Saccharomyces cerevisiae S288C: one gene and its partners. The gene in region 3 interacts genetically with the main gene of each other region. Each region holds a gene or a part of one and is shown on either strand. Other genes may lie near its edges. The genes, in order: ATG26, ARO3, HXT16 and YAT1.

Region 1 (6,442 bases), on a different chromosome or scaffold from region 3:
CCGCCTGAAATTGCGGAGCAGGATGATCGTATTAGACGTGCTATTGGAAAAGCTAATTGCACAAAATTTTTGGCCAATTTTCCAGATGGATTGCAGACTATGGTTGGTGCTAGAGGCGCGCAATTGTCCGGTGGTCAAAAGCAAAGAATTGCATTAGCTAGAGCGTTTTTACTAGATCCTGCCGTCCTTATTTTAGATGAAGCAACCAGTGCCCTTGACTCTCAAAGTGAAGAAATAGTTGCCAAAAATCTTCAGAGACGTGTGGAAAGGGGGTTCACTACTATATCAATTGCACATAGGCTTTCGACGATCAAACACAGTACTAGGGTGATTGTGTTAGGAAAACATGGCTCAGTGGTTGAAACCGGTTCATTCCGAGATCTAATCGCCATTCCTAATAGTGAACTAAATGCGCTGCTTGCCGAACAGCAGGACGAGGAAGGAAAAGGGGGAGTGATAGATTTGGACAATAGTGTTGCCCGGGAAGTATAAGAAGTTGCCGCAGTATGGAATCACTTTTCTATGCCACAGTTATGGTATGTGTTGGAAGACAATTAATTATCGCATTATGTTTGCTGAATATGAAATTGTGTATTCTATAATTTAAATGATGCCCAATGTAATTTACACAAACAGTTTTTTTTTAAAGCTCCTTGTACGCCTTTATACACATTAAATTAATATTAGATGCACAACATACGGTACGTTTAGGAAACTCAAATTAAGCTTTATTTTTTTACTTTTTTATTATTGTTACTATTATTCTTATTATCAACATTATCGTTTTCATATCTTTCCTGAGTACAAATATGACTGAAACTTACAAAAAAAAAATTAATTATTTATTACTATTAATGATTAGATGTTACGCTTTTTTATAAAAGTGAGAGTGATACTCGGTTTAAATCATCGTCCACCCTTCATCCGTTGTTTCAGCAGGTGTCAGTTTGGTTGCATCTACATTTTCCTCTTTCTTGCGCGGAGTTTTCACTCTTGATAAAGTAACGCTTCTTGCATACTCAAGTTCGTTGTAAATTGCACTTATTGCAGTTTTAATCCCATCTTCTTTGGAAATTTTCTTCTTTATTAATCCAGCTCTATCCTTCATTATTTTGTTCGTCGTAGCTACTTTTAAAGCATCTGCTAATGTTTGAGCGTTAAGTTTCTTTAAAGCAATACCAACTCCAATGTCTTCTACTCTACCTGCATAAAAGAACTGATCACCAAAGAAAGGTTTTATAACAGTAGGTAAACCAGCACGTAATGAAGCTCCAGTAGTTCCAGAACCACCATGGTGAACGGCAGCATCGACTTGTGGGAACAACCAATCATGGGGAACGTTTCCGATATTTAAAATGTTTCTTGGAAGATCTACCTCTGTCTTCTTTGCCGCCTTATCGCCCAACCTTTCTGACCATCCCTTATTTAAAATGCAGTATACATCTGCTTCCATAACTGCTTCGACAAGAGCTTCCGTCATTTCTTTGGCATTAGAGACTACAATCGAACCAAACCCGATATAAACCAATTTTTTTCCTTTTGATCTTGCCTCAGAAATAAATTCTTGTAATTCTGCTGGCGGTTTGAAAGTACTCTTATCATCAAGAAACCAATATCCTGTAACTCTCACCCACTCGCTAAAATCAATTGATGGCGGAAAAATTGTAGGAGAAACATTGTATAAGAAAGGAACATTATTCTGCTGTAAAAGAAAAAGATTTGTTTTCCCTAAACCTAGAGTTTCAACTCTCCACTTGTTTACTTGCCCACTAATTCCCTTCCAGAAAACGTTTTCGAAAAGGACATGTGTCAGGTAGTTATAGTTACCGCCCCTTTTTTGATCTGGTACAATAAATGCATGTGGATATGCTCTTGTTCTTGTCCATGGCATGGTAAATGCTCGAAAATAAGGAATTTGCAATGCTTCAGTAATATGAATACCAACCATAGCTGAGGGTGATTCAATCAGAATATCAAATTTTCTTCTGTTACAAACCTCCCAAGATGTCTGTAAAAGAGCATCGATCCATCCCCTAAATTTGCTCGAAGCTTCTCTCAGCATTTTAACATTCATTGATTCATTTTCCACCATCAAGGACATCAACTCCACTGGGTTACCAGCAATCTCTTCAAACTGGATTCCATGACTTTCAACAAAGTCTCTAAATTCCGAATGTGTAATTATTACCACTTGGTGACCTTCTTTTATCAAGCCCTTTCCAAGTGCAATATATGGTTGAACATCCCCTCTTGAGCCAATCGTCAATAATCCAAACTTATAACTCTTGTTTGGTTTTATGCTTGTTTTATAGTGCGGATTCTCATCAATCATTAACGGTACCTCAAAGCCCTCGGCATTAATTTTATCTTCGAAAAGCTTCAACTTCGCTGAGTCAGGGTTATGCTGAACATCGCCAAGAGAAGCACTCGATATATTCGATCCTTCTGCACTGCTTGCATATATGTTATCTAAGAGCTTTAAAAGAATGCGTTCAATATCATCCCTGGCGACCTCAGTGCTAAATTCAAAAAATAGCTCCTCGTGACCGTGAATTACTATAACCAATACAAAATAACCAAATCGAAATCCCTTTTCTTTATAGCATGTCTCCACATCAACCAATGGCAAAACCATGTATGTATTAGACCCTGGTAATAACGATCTGAAGCACACCGTATCATTGGATACGTAAATCTTACCATAAACGGGAACATTTCTATTCAGGTATGTGTAGTAAGTACTGATTAGTGACTTCTCTTTATTAAACTTGAAATGGTACCTGAACCGCTCGTTAGCAGAAACCTCTTCTGTTTCTTTAATCAAATAGGTATCATCCTTTTGAAACGGGATAAACTTGTTCCGGTAGTGTATTGGTTTGGCAGCCCACATTTCGGCAAAATTTTTGAGGTGACTTGGCTTCCAAGCTACGGTTTGCTCTTGACTATCTTCTTGTTCATGAATATGAATCGTGGAATGCACAGAAGAGTCTATATCATTCGCCGCATCTTTATATATTTCCTCCACATCCTCAACTTGAGAATCTTCAAGAGGTTTAGCTCTACGAAACCAACTATTGCTTCTTTCTCTAAATCTGAATCGACTCTTTTTCCCATTTTCCGAAGAAGGCACAGCCGAAGTTGGAACATTCAAATATTTTGAATCCTCGCCGTTATTCTTTTGCTCAACTGTAGCTGGTGTCTCTTTTCCAAAACTTGATTTTGATTTCTTGGCTGGAATATCATAATAAAGTGTATTAACACCGGATTTCTGCAATATAGCCAACTGTTCGCCAAGGCTCTCTTTGACCTGACTACCGGACCCATCCATGAAAACAAACATGAAATCATCGATAGCATAGGTCTGTGAGCTCTCCAAAGCTCTTAATCTCAATGTTAAAGCTTTGTTGACTATAGGTTGATCATCTATCTCTATAATGTTGGGCAGCGGAATTTTTAAACTTATCGAATTGTTTTCAGAATTCTGAGCTGCGAACTGCTCCTTTTTCAAAGCGTTCACCCACGATTTAGCGGAGAACTCTGAATCTGCATTGAATTTGAATGTACTTTCATCTGTGTAAAGCTTAAATGTTTTCGTAGCACTCCCGTTTAAGGTATGTTTTTGTGTTTCAATTTTTTGGACCTCCCTCAAATCTATGGTTAAAACCGGAAAGTATAGCTCAGTTGATGAGGTATACATAGAAAATAAATGATTCTTTAGTACGCACCAATACCTGGTAGACCTAATTAGTTTTGTCCTGATATTAAGGTTTCCAGACATTTTAACCGACCGAGGATTCTTAGGTAAATATGCAAAGAATAGGAAATGTTTTGTTGTAATAAAAATATGGCCTTGAACCAACACATCTTTAAGTAGCCATGCAGGGAAATCATTCAAAAATGGTTCCTGTTCGTCTAAACAAAACCGCTGTCTCAACTTAGCCACATTGTCTTTTGACAGTTTTTCCCTAGTTATTGAGAAGTCGAATAAAGTTGGCTTTCTTTTGTCTAATCTTGGTACTTCCGGATGCGATTTAGTTTTGAGATTTTCCTTTTTGCTTTTTACCTCATTTCGACCAATGTTTTCCTGGAAACTATCACTGGAATCAGATTCTTCAGAATCAACTTGCGACAACACATTCATTTCTTGAGCATTATTCATCCCTGCATACACACTAGCAGTAGTTAATAAACCGGCAATACTTTTCATCATATACTTGGATTTCGCCAAGTCATCTGCATTATCGTTATTGTAACCGTTTTCGTCATCATCACTACGGGCTTCATTTGGACTGTCCTGCAGTTCTTGCTGCTCAGACGACCCCATCGATAAACTGCTATTTGATCTTCCTCTCCAGCGCTTGAACTTCGAAAGTGACCTTGAAAGGCGATGATGCCTAGGGGAAGTTTCTGGCTCAGATGGCTTATCAGGTACCAACGAAATGCTTGGTTTTGGCCCCGCCTCGCTATCAGACGCTGATATGATTTGAGTGATGGGCATTCTTTTAAGTTATACGGATTTTCACCAAAGCATAAAGTGCAACTGAACTTCTGATGTTTACTTTTTGACAGCCATGACTTTATCAGTGATAAATGCAATGACTTTCCGATCTACTCCTTCTGTTGACTTTTAGTCCCTTTTTTCTTAGATGTTATGTTACAGTCACATCAGGGTTAAGTTTTTCCAAGTCATCTCAAAACAATGACCTATTTTATTTCTAGATAAACCCTGGTGTAAGCAGGGTTAATTTTGTCCCAAACGGGCAAAATATAAATACCCCTTTCGGGAAATAAACTAAAAAGAGTTCTAATTAGCCAATTGGCAAGAAAGCTCGATGAAGAATCATTATGGGTTTAGAAATCAGATTTCCTTACTTTACAAGTTCTCTCACGCAAGCTTGATCGTTTTTAAATTTTCTACGTTCATTCAAGACAAAGTGGTTACAGATAGAAGTTTTTCTCACATTTAGATTATTTTTTCCTGATAGTATTAAATAACACGTACGATCAACAAATTGTTGCTCAGTTTAAGTGAGCCTAGAGAATTAAGCTTTATTACTGCTGTATTTTCTGTTATTTTGATTGCCTTGGGAATAAAGGAAAGGTTTGGAGGGGCACATCTTCCTAAATAGCAGTAAGGAAAAAGAATCGCGTGTGAAGTCTTTTAAATCAACATAGTTATCCTCGGTTCCAACTATTTTACTTTCGTTTCAATTCCGTTGTTCTTAACTAATCTTCTTTTCTTTTAACTTGTTACAAGCCAGTACTCATTGCAAAATCAAAAAAAAAAAACACAACTAATAAACTAAACAACTAAAAAAATGAATTCTCCAACAATGAAATCGGAACAACTTACTCCAAAACTCTCACCAATGTCCTTTTGTTTGGATGACCAAAGAAATGCAGGCTCTTTTCAAAATCTATTGAACTCACCTACGAAGCTAAAATTAGACACTGGCCCGATTGGTAATTCCTTGTTATATCCAACATCACTCTCTAAATTGAGCGAGTTATCAAGAGGTGGACGTTCTAAACAAAGAAGGGGCTCTGACACTATGAGGTCTGTATCGCCTATTAGGTTTCAGTTTTTGAACAACACTCCAAAGATGTTAAAACCCGAGTACCTATCTCAAACAACCAGTAATCTGCCATTGCTATCTGCCCTATTGAAGAATAGCAAGAAAACTACTAGTGAAGGCCAGAATTCAAACCCTGATCCATTGAACATAGAGAAAAACATCATTAAACAAAGCATCAAGGACAAACTAGAGCAGCTGCGCAGTTCAGAATCCGTTGCGCAAGTACAAAAGAAAGAACGCAATCCCCCTTCATTTGAGGCCAAAGTCTGTGCGGAAGAACCGATATTACGGAAAAACGCCGAAGGGTTGCTCCCCTCATACGTTCCTGTTCCTGCTACTCCTTTGGAAGATCCAGAAAATCATGGGGTGCGAAAGGTCGAGGACAAAGGACTTAGAGTCGTCTCCGGCGGCTCCACTCAGTGTCTAAGCACCGAAGTGAACGAATTGCCTAAGGATCTGAATCTAGACAATTTACCTACGGATAATAACGGGTTCGTTCAATATGGTCTCAAAGGCAATAACAACAACAACAGATATAGCTTTATCTCGTCTACGTCGACGGACTATGAGCCCGAATGGTGTGACGGACAACAACATATTTCAATGCAAATGGCCTCTATGGCCAATGCAGAGGAGGCAAATAGTCGTGAAAAATCGAATTTAGACATAAAGATCAAGCAGCTAGAACTTGAAATTACAGAATTAAAGTTGCAGAATGAAAAATTAGTGCATTCCATGACGACGAACAGATACATTGAAGAAAGATTTATGCTTGAGGTTATGAAGGATCCTAGTATACAGGCTCAAAGATCCCAAAGAGATATTGAGAGAAAAGTCAAGCAACTGGAGAAAAAATTCTTCAATTG
Region 2 (3,779 bases), on a different chromosome or scaffold from region 3:
AGAGAGGAGACAATCATAATATTATACGAACTCATGGCTTTCCTTATGGGAAATTCTACATTCTCGATAGTGACCCTGGTATATTCAATATACTTAGGAATAACTGTCTTTCATAACAATGGCGGCCATACGATTACCGTATTATCCACCTATTCTTGATATTAAACTGGAAATTCTGTGAATTTTGTGATAATTGTTGGAATTCCATTGTTAATAAAGGCTATAATATTAGGTATACAGGGTTTACTAGAAGTTCTCATCGAGGATTTAGGAATCCTCAAAATGGAATCTATATTTCTACATGCTAATGTTACGATTATTCCTCATTTCGTTTTATATGTTTCATTATCCTATTACATTATCAATCCTTGCATTTCAGCTTCCTCTAACTTCGAAGCTTTCCATAACTTCTGTCATCATCTAATACCGTATATGATAATATATTGATAGTATGACCACTAGTTGATACACTGTTGGAATAAAAACCAACTATCATCTACTAACTAGTATTTATGTTACTAGTATATTATCATATACGGTGTTAGAAGATGACACAAATGATGAGAAATAGTCATCTAAATTAGTGGAAACTGAAACGCAAGGATTGATAATGTAATAGGATAATGAAACATATAAAACTGAATGAGGAATGATCGTAATATTAGCATGTAGAAATATAGATTCCATTATGGGGATTCCTATATCCTGGAGGAGAACTTCTAGTATATCTACATACCTAATATTATTGCCTTATTAAAAATGGAATCCCAACAATTACATCAGAATCCGCACAATTATCATAGATGATAATGGATTTTTATTCCAACAATCAGCATGCCTTTTGTATTTCTGTAAAGAAGAGTAAACCATAACCTAAGTCAATATCAAATTTAGGATTGATGAATTTTCTACTCAAAATGCTTTGTTCAAGAAGGTACGAAAGAAGGTTCCAATCGTCCATTTTAGGGTCCTATAGTGTAGTGGTTATCACTTTCGGTTTTGATCCGGACAACCCCGGTTCGAATCCGGGTAGGACCTTTTCTATTTTTTAACCCTCTTGTTTTATTTTTCTTTCTTGGCTTTGAATTGCACAGCCCCTCGCATTTTTTTTCGATACCCTGAAAAAAGGAAAAAGGCGAAGAAATAAGGGCAATTTCTATTTAAAAATTATACAAGCTCGATTTTTCATTTTCTCCTTCCCCTCTCGCCCCTCCCAGTTTTCAACTGTATTTAAATGTTTCTCAGTTATGTTGTGAATTAAAATAATCCTAATTGTCAACTAAAAAAGTCTAAGTTAGCAATACCAAAATGAGGCATCATCAAAATATGCATTATGCCCCACAACAACAACCAGTCTATGTCCAACAGCCTCCTCCTCGGAGAGAATCCGGTGGTTGCTGTAGAACCTGTTGTCACTTCCTATGTTGTCTATGTTTAATTAACCTATGTTGTGACGTTTTTTAATTCTAATCGACAGCTAAAAATTAGTATGGAAAGAACATCATATTTAGCCGCTGAAAAAAAAGAAGCAGCTGCGTATCTTCTCAAATTTATGCGTACATAGTGACATATATTTAAAAGCTTCCTCACTTTCCTTTTTTATATTTTTTCATTGCTCAAGTATTAGTCACATCGGAAAGTATGCTTGCTGCATTAAATACATGCATGTGTTTATAAGTGTTTGCATTTTCTCTCTCTTCTTTTTTTTCTTCCTGTTACTTGTATACGAACGACATATTTATTTTCACTATTTCTCATTTATATTTATAGCTACTACCCCTATTACGTTACAAGAACACTTTATAGCATTATGTTCATTAAAAACGATCACGCCGGTGACAGGAAACGCTTGGAAGACTGGAGAATCAAAGGTTATGATCCATTAACCCCTCCAGATCTGCTTCAACATGAATTTCCAATTTCAGCCAAAGGTGAGGAAAACATTATCAAGGCAAGAGACTCCGTCTGTGATATTTTGAATGGTAAAGATGATCGTTTAGTTATCGTGATCGGGCCATGTTCCCTACATGACCCCAAAGCCGCTTACGATTACGCTGACAGATTGGCTAAAATTTCAGAAAAGTTGTCAAAAGACTTATTGATTATTATGAGAGCGTATTTAGAAAAACCAAGGACTACTGTTGGCTGGAAAGGGTTGATTAACGACCCTGATATGAATAACTCTTTTCAAATCAATAAAGGTCTACGGATTTCGAGAGAAATGTTCATAAAACTGGTTGAAAAATTACCCATTGCTGGTGAGATGTTGGATACCATTTCTCCGCAGTTTTTGAGTGATTGTTTCTCCTTGGGTGCCATCGGCGCCAGAACTACTGAATCCCAACTGCACAGAGAATTAGCATCCGGTCTATCTTTCCCTATTGGATTTAAGAACGGTACTGATGGTGGTTTGCAAGTCGCCATCGACGCTATGAGAGCCGCTGCACATGAACATTACTTCCTTTCTGTCACAAAGCCAGGTGTCACTGCTATCGTGGGCACTGAAGGTAACAAGGATACCTTCCTGATCTTGAGAGGTGGTAAGAACGGTACTAACTTTGACAAAGAAAGTGTTCAAAATACTAAGAAACAGTTAGAAAAGGCCGGTTTGACTGATGATTCCCAGAAAAGAATTATGATCGATTGTTCCCACGGCAACAGTAATAAAGATTTCAAGAACCAACCAAAGGTTGCCAAATGTATTTATGACCAGCTGACGGAGGGTGAGAATAGTCTCTGTGGTGTTATGATTGAGTCCAACATAAATGAAGGTAGACAAGATATTCCCAAAGAAGGTGGCAGAGAGGGATTGAAGTATGGTTGTTCTGTTACGGATGCTTGTATTGGCTGGGAGTCCACCGAACAGGTATTGGAGCTATTGGCAGAAGGTGTTAGAAACAGAAGAAAGGCCTTGAAAAAATAGCCTGTAAATGAGGGAAAAATGCAAATAATCTTGAATGATACTCAAAACTTTTGATTTATTGTAATTTCTTTCTGAACCATATTTATTACATTCAAACTTTTTTTTTTTTGCCTTTTATAAAAAAAAATACTTATAAGAAAAGAGAAAGAAAATGACAGTTTTCTATGTATCATTAAATAAACATCCATATACAAATATAGCGTTATGTTTTACTTTTATTATTTACATGCATAGAAGTGTTGGCAAAATTCTTTACGAGCCACGGGGCTGCTATTTCAGGTTTTATTTCCATCTTAAGCCATCGTTAACTTCTTCACATTTTCTTTCACAAACAATTTTACATAGCGATTGGATACCCAGTTTCCCTCTTCTAGAAGGAATCACATTGGCAAAGTGATTTAGTACTTCTCTTTCGGTAACTTTGGCGCCAGTGTCATCATTCGTTCTCTTTTCAATATACGCAGCGATTTCCTGTTCTGTAGGCAATTGGTATTTAGAATGGTAGGGATATTGAGTCCAAGTAACATTCGAGGTATTTCTTAGTAATGACATTGGTAGCGATGGTTTAGGAGATGTGATAGATGTCAACTGAGATACAAATAACTGTTCCTTCTTTGTCCATGGATACGGGACCCTTTGTTTATCAATAAGTTTATGCTTTGTGGCTTCAGAGAATTCCACCAAAGAGTCCTGGTTCATGCACATGTTAGCTGCTGTGTATAAGTCTCTTTTGATAGCAGATTCTATGTGATCTCTGGAATTCTCTTGCACCAATCTCAAGGCGATTTGAAGAGAGGATGGTGACTTGGTTAACAATTTCGTTTTGATTTCTTGTGCGAAAGCCTTACCTTCCGCA
Region 3 (4,641 bases):
TTTTACTTTGTCATTAATCTATTCTGAAATAGGTACAGAGCGACGCCAGTGTAAACATATGTGTGATGGACATCAGCATTCAATGTATATCTTATCACACCAGTTTATCCAAAGATAGATGCAGTTTTGAAATTGGTTACTTAGAATATTTCTACTACATTTCGATAACAAATATAACTATTTTGAATTTAAAAGTTGAGTATCCAAAAATTTTAGAAATACATACAATTACTTCCCAATTACTTCCCAAATATTCTCCCCCCTGGTTTGATATCATAAAAGCACCTTATGGCAACAAGATTCCCGGGATAGTAATGCTATTTAAATGTATATCTATTTCTCGAATACTTGTATCTTTACTCCACTACCCCTATGCAAGAAGATACGCGATAGTTTTTGTTCCTTCCTCTTCCTACTCTGTTAATTAACTGAAAATTATTTATATTGAAAAGGTACTTGTAGCAAATTAGACAAGGAATTCTCCTGGTATAAAGTTAGAGAAACAGAAATATGAAACGGCCACCCCAGGTATGAAATATTATCTTAAGAAGAGCCATGAACACACATGAATAGATTCTTGAGACATGCTTAGGGTAACAAAGACTGTAACGCCTTGTTGCAATACTGCTTTATTCAAATTTTTAAATTGTACGGAATTGTGGTAAGGAGAATGTGCAAATAACTTAGCATGAAACGGTGCTATAGTTGAATCATTGTATGAGGTAACATCACTTCAACGAAAAGAAGAATAAAATTGACCTGCACATGGAGAAAGCGTAATATATAAAAAATGTTTACAATTTTGGCGCACTATATGGGAGAACAGCTGCTGGATAATATTATGCCCTTACTTCATTTCACCATATCCGTTTACAGTTCAAATCTCGCCGTCGAGCCATAAATTCTCAAAATTCCTTTGCAAATATTTTGCTTACCTGTAACCGGCAGCTTACATTCTTCCGTCATAATTTCTCAGACGGATGACATAAACCATTTTTTCAGAATCCTCGATAACATAATCGATCAAAACAGTAATAAACATTCTCTTGCACAAAATGGACTTTGGCAGCAAATCCTGAAATATTGTGGAGTATTGCCAGAGGTAAAAGCAACGTTGAACAAATTATGACACTAGACCTCTTAGGCATAAAGATGACATCATCTAGGTACTCGTAAAGATCCTAACCACAGATTCCACCTTAAAAGACGACAATAGTAACTTTGTCCTTGATCTGGGTTACTAAATCAGCGATATGATCATTAAAGTGAATATCCCCTTCTTAAAATGTACCAAATATCTTATACGTTTGCAGTTTTTCTTTTCCTTTTTCTTTATTTCTTTGGTAAGGACTAGGTAATTATTTCCGTATTTGGCTCCTTTGGCGCTTAAAAAATCTTGTACGCAAATTTCCACAAGATATTGCGTGACAATTACTATTACTGAAGTTGAACTTGTTTCATGTCTCCGCCTGTGTTAACTCCGTTTTGCTTAACTCCGTCTCGTATTACAGTAAATTCATGATGTGCCTATGAATATGCAGCTAGCCTGCTGCAGGCAAAATTATTTTTAGCTTTGTGCGCTACAGTGGTAGTAACTTAAAACTTAAAAGCTAAAATGCAAAAACAGTAGAGTGCGGGGTATGCTTTTCTTTTGAACGTGCACTGCGCAGAGGCACAATTTAGCAAAGAAGTCAGGCAAGGTAGATGATGTAAACAAACGAGGACTTGTACTGCGCATCTTGAACCTTTCAATATCATAAGTGCAATCAGCTAAAGGTTTGATTTTCCGAATGCTCTGCAAAAAAGTTAAACATGGTTATATAACTCAAGTATGATAACTCCAGTGTTGGCCTGTAATCACCAACTTTCAAACGTATAAAGAAAGTAAGTAATTCATTGTTTGCTTCAGGTTTAGTCTTATTACTATCCATAGAAGTAAAACTATTGATATTATTGACAGAAAAGGAGGAAAGGAAACTAAAGGAAAAAAATGGCAAGCGAACAGTCCTCACCAGAAATTAATGCAGATAATCTAAACAGTAGTGCAGCTGACGTTCATGTACAGCCACCCGGAGAGAAAGAATGGTCAGACGGGTTTTATGACAAAGAAGTCATTAATGGAAATACGCCAGACGCACCGAAGAGAGGCTTTTTAGGTTACCTTATTATCTACTTACTATGCTATCCTGTATCCTTTGGCGGTTTTTTACCTGGTTGGGATAGTGGTATTACTGCAGGCTTCATCAATATGGATAACTTTAAAATGAATTTTGGTTCTTACAAGCACAGTACTGGTGAGTATTATTTGAGCAACGTGCGTATGGGTCTTCTCGTGGCCATGTTCAGTGTAGGATGTTCCATTGGCGGTGTTGCTTTTGCGAGACTTGCTGATACTTTAGGTAGAAGGCTAGCAATTGTAATCGTGGTTTTGGTATATATGGTTGGTGCAATTATTCAGATCAGTTCGAATCACAAATGGTACCAATACTTTGTCGGTAAGATCATCTACGGTCTTGGTGCTGGTGGCTGTTCGGTGTTGTGTCCAATGCTTTTATCTGAAATAGCCCCCACAGATTTGAGAGGTGGACTTGTCTCATTGTACCAACTTAACATGACCTTCGGTATTTTCTTGGGTTATTGTAGCGTTTATGGAACAAGGAAGTATAGTAATACTGCGCAATGGAGGATTCCTGTGGGACTATGCTTTCTGTGGGCTCTAATTATCATCGTTGGCATGTTATTAGTTCCAGAGTCCCCAAGATATCTGATTGAATGTGAGAGACATGAAGAGGCCTGTGTCTCCATCGCCAAGATCGACAAGGTTTCACCAGAGGATCCATGGGTACTCAAACAGGCTGATGAAATCAACGCCGGTGTCCTTGCCCAAAGAGAACTAGGGGAAGCCTCATGGAAAGAACTTTTCTCCGTCAAAACAAAAGTCCTTCAACGTTTGATCACAGGTATTCTTGTGCAAACCTTTTTGCAACTTACTGGTGAAAACTACTTCTTCTTCTACGGAACTACCATTTTCAAATCAGTTGGGCTTACTGATGGGTTTGAGACTTCGATCGTCCTAGGTACAGTGAATTTCTTCTCCACTATTATTGCTGTTATGGTCGTAGACAAAATAGGCCGTCGTAAATGTCTGTTATTCGGAGCGGCTTCAATGATGGCTTGTATGGTCATATTTGCAAGTATCGGGGTAAAATGTCTTTACCCTCATGGCCAGGATGGTCCATCCTCGAAAGGTGCAGGTAATGCCATGATTGTGTTCACATGCTTCTATATATTCTGCTTTGCAACGACATGGGCCCCTGTTGCTTATATTGTGGTTGCCGAGTCATTCCCTTCGAAGGTCAAATCTAAAGCAATGTCAATTTCGACTGCATTCAACTGGTTATGGCAATTCTTGATTGGTTTTTTCACACCATTCATTACTGGGTCTATCCACTTCTATTATGGTTATGTGTTCGTAGGTTGTTTGGTTGCTATGTTTTTGTACGTTTTCTTCTTTTTACCAGAAACAATTGGTCTATCTTTGGAGGAAACCCAGTTACTATATGAAGAAGGTATAAAACCATGGAAATCTGCATCTTGGGTACCACCCTCAAGGAGAGGAGCTTCTTCCAGGGAAACTGAGGCTAAGAAGAAAAGCTGGAAAGAAGTTTTGAAGTTCCCAAAGAGTTTTAATTGATCAATATGCGCGCTTGATAAACATGCTAAGAGATAAATTCTTGAAAAAAAATAGGGCCTACTGTAAAACGAAGTGACACGTAATTTCAAATTTAATCAACAAAAAACTACGAGTTTCTTTGCAAACTCCCTTTTTCGGACTACTAGTACTATATAAAATAACGAGTTATTTAGTGAAAGAAAGCGTTTGGTTAAGGCAACATTGTACGAAGTTCTGTTTCTTTAAGGCAAAGCAGAGTATAAAAAGTAGGATGCTTATGGAGTGAAAACGGAGTGGTGATGAAGATGGGGAAGTCAACATAGGTCCACTTGAGTGCTTATGGAAGATCCTTAAAAATGCATTTCCAGGAACGTAACACTGTACCATTCCTCTAAATAAAGTGTATACAATAATATAGAAATATAGATTCTTCCCAAATATTCAGTTGTTACTATAAAGGGAATATTTGAGCTCGTTATTAGCGTGGCCGCACAAACAACCATCATATTAGAAGAGATAACTTTGTTTCAACTCGGGGGGGCAAACTTTCTCATGCTTCGTTAACTTGGCAAATACAACAAGCATACTTTTTGCGGTGAAAACATTTTGAGGCATGTTTCCACACAACATAATAGCGAATGGAGTAAGATTTTTTTTGTAGTACAGTAAAAAGACCTCATATAGGTACCCGTACAAAGTCTCTGACCTCTCTGGGTGACCTGGGTCATTAGTAGTTCAAGGAGCATCTGCCACTAAAAGATTTGTGACCTAACTGTGGTAGTAACCGTTAAAGACACGGTATTGAAACAATGGGTTCAAAACAGTCGAGGGTTTTAGCATTTAAGTCGGCATATGTCCATTTCTATCCTTTTTCCAAGTCTATTGAGTTTCTTTATCTTTTTACTTATTTCCTTTTTGAAAGGTCTTACGACAAAGTTCAAAGCTTGATGAATTGTCTATTACTTTAT
Region 4 (4,979 bases), on a different chromosome or scaffold from region 3:
TTTGACGCTAGCATGTGTCCAATTCAGTGTCATTTATGATTTTTTGTAGTAGGATATAAATATATACAGCGCTCCAAATAGTGCGGTTGCCCCAAAAACACCACGGAACCTCATCTGTTCTCGTACTTTGTTGTGACAAAGTAGCTCACTGCCTTATTATCACATTTTCATTATGCAACGCTTCGGAAAATACGATGTTGAAAATGCCTCTAGAGATGAAAAACAATCGTAAAAGGGTCCTGCGTAATTGAAACATTTGATCAGTATGCAGTGGCACAGAAACAACCAGGAATACTATAGTCATAGGCAATACAAGGTATATATTGGCTATGCAGACCCCTCCAGAAAGTACCGACGTCAAGTTAGATACACTTAACGAACCTAGTGCACATTTAATTGAGAAAAATGTGGCTCTTCCTAAGGACATATTCCGTTCGTACTTGAGTTATTGGATCTATGAAATCGCTCGCTATACACCAGTCATGATTTTGTCCCTGGTAATAGGGGTTTTGGTTTTATTAATTATATTTTTTAATGACAACGAAGCTTGTGTTTTCAATTCTGCAATATTTGCTTTTACTTCTCTTGTAGGTTTGTTAATAATATTAAGTGATGGTAATCCAAAGCTAGTCAGTCGTCGAAATTTTAGGACCGAGCTTTTAGTGGATGTCATCACACGTAAACCGGCGGTAGAAGGGAAAGAATGGAGGATCATCACATACAACATGAACCAATATTTGTTTAATCATGGGCAATGGCATACTCCGTATTACTTTTACAGCGATGAGGATTGCTACCGTTATTTTCTACGCCTTGTTGAGGGAGTAACCCCCAAGAAGCAAACAGCCACGTCAATTGGCAATTCTCCGGTCACCGCTAAGCCTGAAGATGCCATCGAGTCAGCTTCTCCTAGTTCCAGACTGAATTATCAAAACTTTTTGCTCAAGGCAGCGGAGATCGAACGACAAGCTCAGGAAAATTACTGGCGAAGGCGGCATCCCAATATCGATGCGCTTCTTAAAAAGACGGAATAGCTTAGAGACACTACCATACGTAAAGCGAACATAAACTAGAGTATGATATATAATCAGCACTAACTGGCCGGAAAACGGCCGAAGGAAGCCTCGAAAAGTCGATTCGTGTTGGACCCATTTGCTGAACAAAGTGGTTCATTGCCTACCTATTATGGTAGTAGTCGTGATAATCGTGTGGTTGGTTTTGTCAACGGTGCATTTGCATTTTCATGACAATAAACCTTGCGTTTTCGTTCTCGGGATATTACTTTCCCTCCACTTCTTTCGCCTCAATAGCTCCTATAAGCATTCTCAGGGCGTATGTCGGTGATCGAGATTTCCAAGCAAGCTTTTAGTGGAAATCATCGCGCGCAAGCCAGCGGTAAAGGGAAAAGAACGGAGGACGATTACATACAAGATGAACGAATAAATAAATTAATAATAAATAATAATAAAAAGTACAGTAGCATTAAATATTATTAAGTTTAATGATTAAAAATTGGTTAATTGTCAAGAAAATCTAAGGTATTAATAAATAAATAATACTATGACAACTTGCAGCGAAAGCATCAGCCCCAATGAAAATTAATCAGAATTGAATCTGAGCGTATTTATTTGATAACGGTTTACGTAACTGTTGGAATAAAAATCAACTATCATCTACTAACTAGTGTTTACGTTACTAGTATATTATCATATACGGTGTTAGAAGATGACGCAAATGATGAGAAATAGTCATCGTTTTCAACGGAAGCTGAAATACAAGGATTGATAATGTAATAGGATCAATGAATATCAACATATAAAACGATGATAATAATATTTATAGAATTGTGTAGAATTGCAGATTCCCTTTTATGGATTCCTAAATCCTCGAGAAGAACTTCTAGTATATCTACGTACCTAATATTATTGCCTTATTAAAAATGGAATCCCAACAATTATCTCAAAATTCCCCCAATTCTCATCAGTAACACCCCACCCCGTATTACTTTTACCGTGATGAAGATTGGCATCGTTACTTTCTAAACGTAGGACGTGCGGAATGACAAAACCATCAGCAGTGTCACGATCTCTCCAGTCACAATGGCAATCATGAGTGCATAGTCCAAAGTAAAGGGGCAAGGAAAAGCATGATTGAAAGGACTCCCCATCTGGACTCTATATGTCATCAGCGGCTAAAAAAAAGCATATAGCACAACATCAGCATCAGCATCAGCACTAGAGTCATCGGCCCGGCGGTCCGCGGTCATCCCCGCGGACTTTCCGTCCGCCCGGCGGGCTGTATCAGCGTCAACTGGAACGCGCATATATATACAAGACACACATAACATAGAAGCACACCCACGACAATAACCACACGACAATAACCACACCCGCCCACCCCTCCTTTCCGTATACAATGCCAAACTTAAAGAGACTACCCATCCCGCCACTGCAGGACACGCTCAACCGCTACCTGGCACGCGTGGAACCCCTGCAGGACGAGCGCCAAAACCGCCGTACGCGCCGCACTGTGCTCTCCGCAGAAAACCTGGACGCATTGAACACGCTGCACGAGCGGCTGCTAGAATACGACGCACGGCTCGCGGAAAGCAACCCAGAGTCCTCATACATCGAGCAGTTCTGGTATGACGCGTACTTGCTATATGATGCAACTGTCGTTCTCAACGTCAACCCGTACTTCCAACTGCAGGACGACCCAACCATCAAAGACACACCAGAGACGGCGGCACAGGGCCCCTATGGCGCACACACGGTGCAGGTTCGTCGTGCCGCACGACTCACCACCTCTATTCTCAAGTTCATCCGCCAGATTCGCCACGGCACACTCCGCACAGACACTGTGCGCGGCAAAACGCCGCTGTCGATGGACCAGTATGAGCGGCTATTCGGCTCCAGTAGAATCCCTCCGGGTCCCGGCGAGCCCTCTTGCCACTTGCAAACAGACGCCACGTCGCATCACGTGGTGGCGATGTATCGTGGCCAGTTCTACTGGTTCGACGTGCTGGACACACGCAACGAGCCCATCTTCGCCACCCCAGAACAACTGGAGTGGAACCTCTACTCGATCATCATGGACGCGGAATCCGCCGGAAGCGGATCCGCGCCCTTTGGCGTGTTCACCACAGAGTCGCGCCGGGTGTGGTCCAACATCAGGGACTATCTGTTCCATGCGGACGACTGCACCAACTGGCGCAATCTCAAGCTGATCGACTCCGCGCTGTTCGTGGTCTGTCTCGACGACGTGGCGTTTGCCGCCGATCAGCAGGACGAGCTCACGCGTTCGATGCTGTGCGGGACTTCTACCATCAATCTCGACCCGCACCAACACCAGCCGCCATTGAACGTGCAGACAGGCACCTGTCTCAACCGCTGGTACGACAAGTTACAACTGATCGTGACCAAGAACGGTAAGGCGGGCATCAACTTCGAACACACCGGTGTGGACGGCCACACTGTGCTGCGGCTCGCCACAGACATCTACACAGACTCGATCCTGAGCTTCGCACGCGGTGTCACCAAGAACGTCGTCGACATCTTTAGCGACGACGATGGAAAACCATCGTCGTCGTCGTTGGCCTCGGCGGCTCACTCCGCCAACTTGATCACCATCCCTCGTAAACTGGAATGGCGCACTGACAATTTCCTGCAATCGTCGCTGCACTTTGCCGAGACGCGCATCTCGGACTTGATCTCGCAATACGAGTTTGTTAATCTTGACTTCTCCAACTACGGCGCGTCCCATATCAAGACAGTGTTCAAGTGCTCGCCAGACGCCTTCGTGCAGCAGGTGTTCCAGGTCGCATACTTCGCGTTGTACGGTCGCTTCGAGACCGTGTACGAGCCTGCCATGACCAAGGCGTTCCAAAACGGCCGCACAGAGGCCATCCGCTCCGTCACGGGCCAATCGAAGCTCTTTGTCAAGTCACTACTGGACCAGGATGCCTCGGACGCCACCAAAATTCAGCTCTTGCACGACGCCTGTACGGCGCACTCGCAAATCACAAGGGAATGCTCCCAGGGGCTCGGCCAGGACCGTCACTTGTATGCGCTCTACTGCCTCTGGAACCAATGGTACAAGGACAAGTTGGAGCTCCCACCCATCTTCCGCGACAAGTCCTGGACTACCATGCAGAACAACGTCTTGAGCACCTCCAACTGCGGTAACCCCTGCCTCAAGAGCTTCGGGTTCGGGCCTGTCACCGCCAACGGCTTCGGCATCGGCTACATCATCAGAGACCACTCCGTCTCTGTGGTGGTGTCCTCAAGGCATCGCCAGACTGCTCGGTTTGCGTCGCTCATGGAAAAGTCGCTGCTGGAGATCGACCGCATCTTCAAACGGCAGCAAGCTCGCGCAGCAAAACCCGCTGCCAGGACCACTGCTAGCGCCAACACCAAATCAGAAGACATGAAATACCTGTTGTCCGGCTACGATTACTTCGACGTGAGCGTGTCCGGTTGAGTTTATGCTGAGTTTTTGCGCATCAATATTATTTTTACTACTACTACTACTACTACTACTACTACATACTATTAAATATACTAAATAAGAGGAAAACGCTTTGGAAGTGACTGGCGCCGCCGCTGGCTACTATAATAGCAGCGACTGTAATTTAATCTCATCCCGTCGTTTGGATTACCTCTTTTACTCGCCGAGCGAACGTGCACCAAAAAGGGAAAGGAAAAAAAGAAAAAAAAAGGAAAAAGGAAACTCAAAACTTGGATAAATAGAAGCACTCAAACTAAATTAAACTGCCAAAAAAAAAAAAAATAAAAAGGGAAAAGTTTAAACATCAAAGTACACCTTTCACCCCTCCACACACCATGGAACAACCTGATCTATCGTCTGTGGCCATCAGTAAGCCGCTGCTGAAGTTGAAACTTCTCGACGCCCTTCGCCAGGGAAGTTTCCCCAACCTACAAGATCTCCTAAAGAAACAATTCCAGCCGCTAGACGACCCA

Evidence for each region.
Region 1: mutations in HXT16 (region 3) and ATG26 together harm fitness more than expected from each alone (negative genetic interaction), as found in Saccharomyces cerevisiae (one large-scale study listed by BioGRID).
Region 2: mutations in HXT16 (region 3) and ARO3 together harm fitness less than expected from each alone (positive genetic interaction), as found in Saccharomyces cerevisiae (one large-scale study listed by BioGRID).
Region 4: mutations in HXT16 (region 3) and YAT1 together harm fitness less than expected from each alone (positive genetic interaction), as found in Saccharomyces cerevisiae (one large-scale study listed by BioGRID).

What each region holds. Positions count from the first base shown.
Region 1 is NC_001144.5:529,896-536,337, forward strand, and holds ATG26 (sterol 3-beta-glucosyltransferase), read right to left. Parts: upstream 4,499-6,442; coding exon 902-4,498; downstream 1-901. Other genes in the region: ATP-binding cassette permease MDL1, read left to right, coding at 1-492; MMR1 (Mmr1p), read left to right, coding at 5,319-6,442.
Region 2 is NC_001136.10:520,006-523,784, forward strand, and holds ARO3 (3-deoxy-7-phosphoheptulonate synthase ARO3), read left to right. Parts: upstream 1-1,810; coding exon 1,811-2,923; downstream 2,924-3,779. Other genes in the region: YDR034C-A (uncharacterized protein), read right to left, coding at 511-687; cysteine-rich palmitoylated domain-containing protein CPP3, read left to right, coding at 1,309-1,464; mitochondrial 37S ribosomal protein mS47 EHD3, read right to left, coding at 3,206-3,779. UniProt on the Saccharomyces cerevisiae protein: Stereospecific condensation of phosphoenolpyruvate (PEP) and D-erythrose-4-phosphate (E4P) giving rise to 3-deoxy-D-arabino-heptulosonate-7-phosphate (DAHP).
Region 3 is NC_001142.9:730,450-735,090, forward strand, and holds HXT16 (hexose transporter HXT16), read left to right. Parts: upstream 1-1,990; coding exon 1,991-3,694; downstream 3,695-4,641. UniProt on the Saccharomyces cerevisiae protein: Probable glucose transporter.
Region 4 is NC_001133.9:187,778-192,756, forward strand, and holds YAT1 (carnitine O-acetyltransferase YAT1), read left to right. Parts: upstream 1-2,415; coding exon 2,416-4,479; downstream 4,480-4,979. Other genes in the region: DUP240 family protein MST28, read left to right, coding at 330-1,034; YAR035C-A (uncharacterized protein), read right to left, coding at 4,560-4,640; oxysterol-binding protein related protein SWH1, read left to right, coding at 4,842-4,979. UniProt on the Saccharomyces cerevisiae protein: Involved in the transfer of acetyl-CoA into mitochondria. May also be involved in the metabolism of acetate and of ethanol.